2 linked regions of the Xenopus tropicalis genome follow. The protein of the gene in region 1 interacts with the protein of each later gene in a pairwise test. Links are inferred from orthologs where the notes say so. Each region holds a gene or a part of one and is shown in the gene's direction. Other genes may lie near its edges.

Evidence for each region.
Region 2: the proteins of tk1 (region 1) and ptprk interact in a two-hybrid assay, tested with the Homo sapiens proteins (2 studies listed by BioGRID and IntAct). The link is inferred for Xenopus tropicalis from reciprocal best matches to the Homo sapiens genes TK1 and PTPRK.

The regions. Positions count from the first base shown.
Region 1 is NC_030686.2:26,189,628-26,193,352, forward strand, and holds the end of tk1 (thymidine kinase, cytosolic), read left to right. Parts: intron 1-98; coding exon 99-212; intron 213-776; coding exon 777-870; intron 871-953; coding exon 954-1,043; intron 1,044-1,136; coding exon 1,137-1,256; intron 1,257-2,442; coding exon 2,443-2,637; 3' UTR 2,638-2,782; downstream 2,783-3,725. UniProt on the Homo sapiens protein: Cell-cycle-regulated enzyme of importance in nucleotide metabolism. Catalyzes the first enzymatic step in the salvage pathway converting thymidine into thymidine monophosphate.
Region 2 is NC_030681.2:68,144,084-68,148,531, reverse strand, and holds part of ptprk (receptor-type tyrosine-protein phosphatase kappa), read left to right. Parts: intron 1-1,497; coding exon 1,498-1,652; intron 1,653-4,448. UniProt on the Homo sapiens protein: Regulation of processes involving cell contact and adhesion such as growth control, tumor invasion, and metastasis. Negative regulator of EGFR signaling pathway. Forms complexes with beta-catenin and gamma-catenin/plakoglobin.

The DNA.
Region 1 (3,725 bases):
TAAAAAAGTATGTTTATTGTCCTTTAACTGCTGTATGTCATCGCATGAGACTGCTTATTTTCCTATTCTGCTGAACAAATTTTCTGTATATTTTACAGCACAGAGCTGATGCGCAGAGTGCGACGGTTTCAGATTGCACAGTACAAGTGCATGCTTATAAAGTATGCGAAAGATACACGCTACAGCAAAGAGCATCTTGCTACACATGACCAGTAAGCAATTTTACACATTCTGTATTGTTAAGCTCATCTTATCTACATATAGAAATATCGCATATCATTGGTTGTGGTACATTTGTATTTACTGATTTTAAAAAGCATGCCCAAAAATCATATAGGACTGCACTGGGTAACATGGTAACAATTGTTATGGGCTATAATTGCCAGGACCTTCATGGTGTAGAGTATGGTTTATATGTTTTTGGCAAATAACACTTTTTGGGAATTCACAGAAGTGTAGTTACCTTAAAATATGAGTTAAAGTGGAGCAAAATTAATTTACCCCACAAAATCATCTAAATACAAATTAACAAAAGTAGACGGTACTGTTTTATTGATTAAAATGGAGTCGATGGAAGATGGCCTTCCCCTAATTTAAAGCTTTTTGGAGAAAGGGTTTCCAGCTAATGCATTCCATAACTGTACTACTTTTACAGAGGACTTCAGTGCTTCTTTGTTCCAAACCATGTAGAGTATTTTTACATTGCTGTGCCCATCCTTTTTAAAGCAACTGTTAAGTATAGAGATTGAGATGTTAATGCTTGTTTGTCCTTGCAGGAACACAATGGCAGCTGTATCTGCCTGCCAGTTGCGTGATGTTTCCGCTGAAGCTTTGGCCTGTTCTGTTATAGGAATAGATGAAGGACAGTTTGTGAGTATTTCCTGATTTAACTTTAAAGTTCGTTCTTCACCTGACTTCTGATGACCGATAATAAAACTTCTGTTCTCATTCAGTTCCCTGACATTGTAGATTTTTGTGAGGAAATGGCAAATCGTGGAAAGACTATGATTGTAGCAGCTCTGGATGGCACATTTCAGAGGAAGGTTAGTTGTAGTTACAAGTATAAGAATGCAATGTGTTGTGCTTTTTACATGGGTTTTAAGTGGCCCTTACCACCTTTTTGTGCACATTTTTAGGCATTTGGAAACATCTTGAATTTGGTGCCTTTGGCAGAAAGTGTTGTAAAACTCAACTCTGTTTGCATGGAGTGTTATCGGGAGGCTGCATACACCAAGCGGCTAGGGGCAGAAAAGGAGGTATGTAAATAGTCTTCTGGAGGTATTATTTATGTCCTTGTCTGCATGTGAGCTATTTGTGCATCAAAAAATGCCAGCTACGTTTTCTATAGACAGATAGCAAAATTATTGCAAATATTTTGCTTCACAGGTAAATCCAATAAATTGCATTATTTCTGTTATGTTATTGTACTTTAAATACAGGTAATGTGCAAATAATTTTTTCCTTGTACTTAATTTCATACACACAAATGGTGTGGCCATATTGCTTAATTTGGTTTAGATATATTCATAGGGGCATATTTATTATAGAGTATAAACCAACATCACCGGTGATGTTGCCCATAGCAACCAATCAAATCTTTGCTTTTATTTGCTAACTTGTAGGTGACCATCCAAATTGAATTGCTGATCGGTTGCTATAGGGAACATCGCCAGTAATGTTGCCTTACACACTGTAATATGCCCCTACTGTATATTCTCATGTTAATCTTCAATTGATGTGGGTTTTGTAATGGCCATTGAGGCAGGAGGTAAAAGAATTAATGTTAATTTTAATTAGGCCAAATTTCAGCTAGTGTCCTGTAGGTTATGAGCCTGCAGACCAGAAAGGGATTTAAAATGCAGGTCCCTATATAGGCATTTTCCACATTCATTCCTTCCTTCCCTCCCACTCTTAAATTATGTCCTTTACAGTTTCATTGTAACCTCATTTTTTTTATTCTATCACAGTGAGTGGGTGAAGCTGCGTAATTTCCTTTTGTTGCTATATGATAAAATGGCAGTTTTAGTTTGAGTCTTAAGTTGTATCCATTCTAAAAGCCCTCAGTAATCCTGATGCTGCCTCCTTTATTTGCCACAATAGTTTTGCATATTACGAGCTAAAAAGAAAAATATATATTAGGGGCCAGTGACATGTGGCAGTCGGGCAGATTTGGATGGAAAAAATTGGCCGGCACTTTGGGTGTGGGTTGTCATTGCCCAGCCACAGCCTGTGGAGCCTGGCTCCACAAAAGCTAGCCTCATCATTGGTGGCATAATGTTTATGGGCTGGTTTGGGTTGGGACAGGTGTCTTAAAAGCCTCTTTTCAACCTCAGACTGGGTAAGGCCTAGGTTGAGAAGGCTGCAGGTTATGGTGTGTGCAGGTCCCCATCTCATAGAATCAGATTTAATTTTTTTTTTCTCCTTTTTCTGCATTGTGTGCAGGTGGAAGTTATTGGAGGAGCTGAAAAATATCACTCAGTCTGCAGACTTTGCTTCTTCAAAAACCAGCAGCTCCCGGTAGAGAAGGAGAATGTGCTTTCTCATAATGCACTAGACACCATTTCCTTAAAGCTTAGTAACAAGCTGCAAACAGCTTGTTCCCCACGCAAGCCACTTGCACAACGACAATGCTTGTAATGGACTGTACAGCTAACTTACTGTATTGCTTAATGTGTATAATGTATGTTTTTTTTAAGACTTATTTTAATTTTTTTTGTATATGTTTTACGTGCATATCTGTATTTACATTAATATTGGCTTCTAAATGGAGATCTTGCTCTTTTGTGCTGTCTTGTTATTTATTTAAATGTCCCTAAAAGCTTAAGGTCCCCATACACGCTGATATCCCCACCTACGGTGGGGCCAAACGATCAAATTATACTGGCGGCAAGGGGCAGTCTGTTCGGGGACCGCATCAACGAGCCGATGCGGCCCCCGATCCGACGGAATTTTCTAACCTGGCCGATCGAGATCTGGCCAATTTCAGGCCAGATATCGGTCGGCTAGGACCCTCGTTTCTGCCCCTACACGGGCAGATAAGCTGCAGAATCGGTCTAAGGGACTGATATCGGCAGCTACAATCTGCCCGTGTATGGGGACCTTTAGTGTAAGAAAGGAAACGACAATGTGTAGTAAATGTTCTTACCTCTTTCTTATCTTGAATTGAACTAAACCCCTGTAAGATGTGACGGATTGCCAAAATACATTCTACAAGTTTGATGTGGTTGTATAGGTCAAAAATCATGTGTTAAAATGCATGAAAGATTTGTCATCTGACACAACATGCCTGTTGGAAGATCAGATGGAGATCCTGACCCAAAAATCTGATCAAAATCTCCCATGGAGTTTATCCCGTTATTATGCAAGGGGACAGTGATAATTCAGAGCTAGAACAATAGAGAGGATGTTTTCTACATCCAGTGGGGTTAACTTTAAAGATTTATTTTGATTTGGATTGTAAAAACCTTTAAGGAGTCCTACAACCAAAAACTGTTTTTCATGGTAAAAGCAAGATCACTGTATATTTGTAAGTTTGTTACATATATAATACACATACAGAGCTATGAATATCCTGTAAATCTTATCAATATAATTGGTGCTTAGTGATGTATGTTTTGTCAGATGACTCACTGAAACAGGGGGTATTATATTTGTTATATTTTAAACAATAGGATGTTATGAGTTCAATGACCTGTATAAGAAAAGTACTCAGCTTTGTGCCTTTA
Region 2 (4,448 bases), on another chromosome or scaffold:
AAAGTAACTAGATCATGATAGATAAGGAAGCAGTTTATTGCTGGTCTTTCCATTGATTTAATAATGTAGTGCTTGGGGCTGGGATAAACCATTATAAGATAGATTTTTTTTTTTTTTTTGCAATGTAACTATGGAGATTTTCCAATGATTTTAGTGGTTTCTGTTTGCAGACAGCACCATCACTAATGTGAGTAAATACTGCTATACAGAAATTGTTTTATCCATGTACAAAATCAGTTGACAAGAGGTACCTGCTAAGTAGAATTTAACCCAAAATGGGATGCTTGACATTCTCTACCTGTGATGCTTGGAGATTTTCATTCTTAAAATTTCAGGGGAAGCAATTACCATGCCAGTGTCAATTATAGCTAAAACTGGGAATAAGTATACCAGGAATGTTCTTCGCTTAATTATGGAAAATAAAATACAAAGCTTGGTTAGCAGAAAAAAAGCAAACTGAAATGTATTAAGGCTGATTAATAATATGTAAATATACAGAAGCCTTTGAACCAAAAATCAGCGTTATTCTGTTATTGCTGTGTGTGGTTTTTTTTCTGGATGAAATTATGTTTTTGTTTGTTTAAGGGTTTTTTGGCATTCTTTAGAGTGTTCACTACTTTGAGTCCTTCAGTAGTTTTAGTAATGTTCACAAATTTGTTGTGGTACATGACTCCATTATTCTCCTAGTGAGCAACAGAATTGTTCTTTTAAAGCAATCTACTGGCCAGACTGTAAATAGCGCACTCCCTGTGTGTCTTTACTAGCATAGGCATTTTAAATTCTGCTGCAACATTTGAAGAGTATTGAGGCTAGTATTGCTAGGTTCTTATTTTGCATGGTTAATTGTTATTCTTACACATATATAGTAGAACACTTTATTCAACCATGGTTCCACTTGTTTTTACTATACTCCATTCCTTATTTGTGGTCACCCCCAGTTGCACACAGGCATCCTTCTTGAGCTCCACCTCCTTTGTTTTGCCCCTTCAAATTAGGGTCAATGAATGGGGACTGGCCAGCAAAATTGGTACATAATAAGGCCCAGCGTCAGACTGGGGTGTTCAGGCTATCAGGGTCCACACCAGTCGCTCCTGTGCACTGCCATCCTGATGCCAGCCCCCCTGTGCACCCTGCTCTCCACAGGTATCGACATGTAGCAAGGCCCACAGGGTTTTTTCCTGGTTTCCCTTTAGCCAAGTACGACCCTGGCAAGGCCCCAAGCATACAGCAATTGGTAGTGTTGTGGACCAATTCAAAATTATAAAGGCATCAAGAGACATTTTTGAATCATGGCTTCATACTGTTATAGTGCTGTTGTACATCAGGTTGGGTTCAGTAACAACTAATGCATTTCTTGCTTTATTGGGTTCTTTCAAAACGATGGGGCTTTTCTGATTTTTACTGGCATCTCTTCTTTCTTGGGAGCACCCCAAAGTTCTTTTTGTGAGAATATTTCCAGCTATCATAAACTCAATTATAATATTTTGTAATTTACAGAGAGGGTACAATGAGATCCGTGAAGTCAAACAGTTCCACTTCACTGGCTGGCCAGACCATGGTGTTCCTTATCATGCCACGGGTCTTTTGTCATTCATTCGCCGAGTGAAGTTGTCAAATCCTCCAAGTGCTGGTCCTATCGTGGTTCACTGCAGGTTGGTATTACTTTTTAAGCCTTTAGAGAATACACAGTCTGTTGACTTTGTTACTGAACTGTTCCCGCTGCTACAGATGCCACAATAGAATTTCCACCAGATGCTGCCAGATTAGCAGTGGGAAGAAATACATACGGCCTCATTCATATTGGTGTTTTGCCATTTACTTCTAAGCAGAATTTCAGACAAGTGGATTTTAATGTACTGTAACTAGCAGTCTTACTGTGCAGCTGTGATTAGTATGCATTACTGTCAGATATGGTTTCTAAATGCCATGGTACAGAAGGTGTATGTATTTCCACCAGCAGAGAAATGCCTGTCATTTCTGAGGCTGCCTACCATTGAATTGAATAAAAACCTCTATTAAAACCTTTAACCTCAACCCTCTACTGGAAACTGGAGAGCCCAGTGCTGAGACTTCTTATCTCCTCTATGTGCTCTTCCTACAAGAGTGAGGAGAAGATACAAGTGTCTCACTGGGTAAATAAAATCCATAAAATTCTTTAGAGCATTAGATAGTGGAGACCTACTACTTTCTATAAAGCATTTGATTAAGATACAGAAGATATACTGCACCTGAAATGTACGGAGAAAAGTACTTAGCCTTTATGTTAACGAGCTAGGCAATATTAATTGTGTACAGGTGTTTGACCCCTTATCCGGAAACCCATTTTCCATAAAGTTCAGAATTACGGGAAGGTAATCTCCCATAGACTCCATTTTAATCAAATAATTCACAGTTTTTAAAATGGTTTCCTTTTTCTCTGTAATAATAAAACAGTACCTTGTACTTGATCCCAACTAAGATATAATGAATCCTTATTGAATGCAAGACCATCCTATTGGGTTTAATTACTGATTAAATAATTTTATTAGCAGACTTAAGGTAGGAAACTCAAAAAATAAACTCGCTCAAAAATAAATGTAAATATTAAATTAATTTAAGAACCAAGCATTAATCTATTCAGCTGGTTCAAACGGCAGAAATCAATTTGTACCAAATATAAAGAAGAGACCCGGGTGTTCATACCCCGGGTCTATCGCACAAGTAGAAAACAGAAAGATCTGATAAGCGATGAATAAAGGCTCACCATAGTCCAAAAATGGGCCGGGTGCTCAGGGCCCCGAACCCGTAGCCAAGGTAGAAAATCCAAAGATTGTAAAGGGTAACTCCAAGCGCACCGGACAACAGGATAGTCTAAGATATCCTGTCGTCCGGTGCGCTTGGAATTACCCTTTACAATCTTTAGACTTAAGGTAGGAGATCCATATTATGGAAAGACCCCTTATCTGGAAAACCCCATGTACTGAGCATTCTGGATAATGGGTCACATACCTGTACCTTTTTATGCAGTATGTCTTACCTCAGGCAAGCAATATTATGTCAGATTGCCCTAATATGTTTAATATAAACTATACTTTCATACTTTGAGTTGTATAAGCCTGCCACGCTGCATGCCTTGGCTGAACAATTAAATCCATACACTTAAGTGCTGGTCATTGGGAATCAACTAGGATAGGTAAGCTGTTTGGCAGCTCCCACACAACAAGTTGAAATATGGTAGGAATGTTCCCTGCACACACTTAATTATACCTTTAATATAATTAAATGCTGTAAATGGTCTAAGCAAAGTACAGGTATAGGACCTGTTATCTAGAATGCTCGGGACCAAGGGTATTCCGGATAAGGGGTCTTTCCGTAATTTGGATCTCCATACCTTAAGTCTACTAAAAAATCAATAAAACATTAATTAAACCCAGCAGGATTGTTTTGCATCCAATAAGGATTATTTATATATTAGTTGAGATCAATTACAAGGTACTGTTTTATTATTACAGAGAAAAAGGAAATCATTTTTACATTTCTGAATTATTTGATTAAAATGGAGTCTATGAGAGACAGGCTTTCCATAATTCGGAGCTTTCTGGATAACGGGTTTCCGTATAAGGGGTCCGATACCTGTATAAACATTCAGAAAAGCTTCTATATAATATATATCATCTTTTTAACCTACTTACAAAACATTAACTTCAGTAGCAATCATGGCAAAAAAGTAATTCAGGTCTGGAAATTGTGGAAAGATTATGGAAACAAAGTTTCACTTTAAACCAAAAGAGGTATTAAGCCATTTAATAGGCACCTATTACAGGATATCAAAGTGGGAAAAATGAAAATATATAATATCCTTTATGCAGAAACCCCTCACCCCCCTCCCTCACATGGATGTGAGAACGAACAGGATTGTCCTGTGAGAAGTGCAGGTGAGGGGATGTCTAGGCAGAGGAGGTGCCTAGCCCTCCCCCACCACCACCATTGCACCCTTGGCAGGTGCCTCCTCTCCACACCCCTAGTTCCAGCCATGTCGCACATAAACTTCATTTTAATCAAACAATTTACAGTTTAAAAAATGATTTCCTTTTTGTCTATAATAATAAATCAGTAGGCTGTACTTGATACCAACTAAAATATAATTAATCTTTATTGGAGGCAAAACAATCGGTTTTATTGAATGTGTTAATGATTTTTCCCTCACATCCCAACAGGCAGCACTTACATGCTCCACCCTGTAGGTAGGAAAAACACCACTCCAAAAGTCTTCCCACAACCTATAAGAACTTCCCTCTTCCCTACTCCTCTTAGTGTTTTCTAACTCCAGGTGAGGATATATCACAGCTCTGTTTGATTTAGTTCAACAGGCCATTATCATTGTGTGCTGCATGGGTGCCACTCCGTAGGAAGCAGGCAGTGTATTGGCTTACTCACATAATGCAGGAAAGATCCTGAAGTGGGTTCAG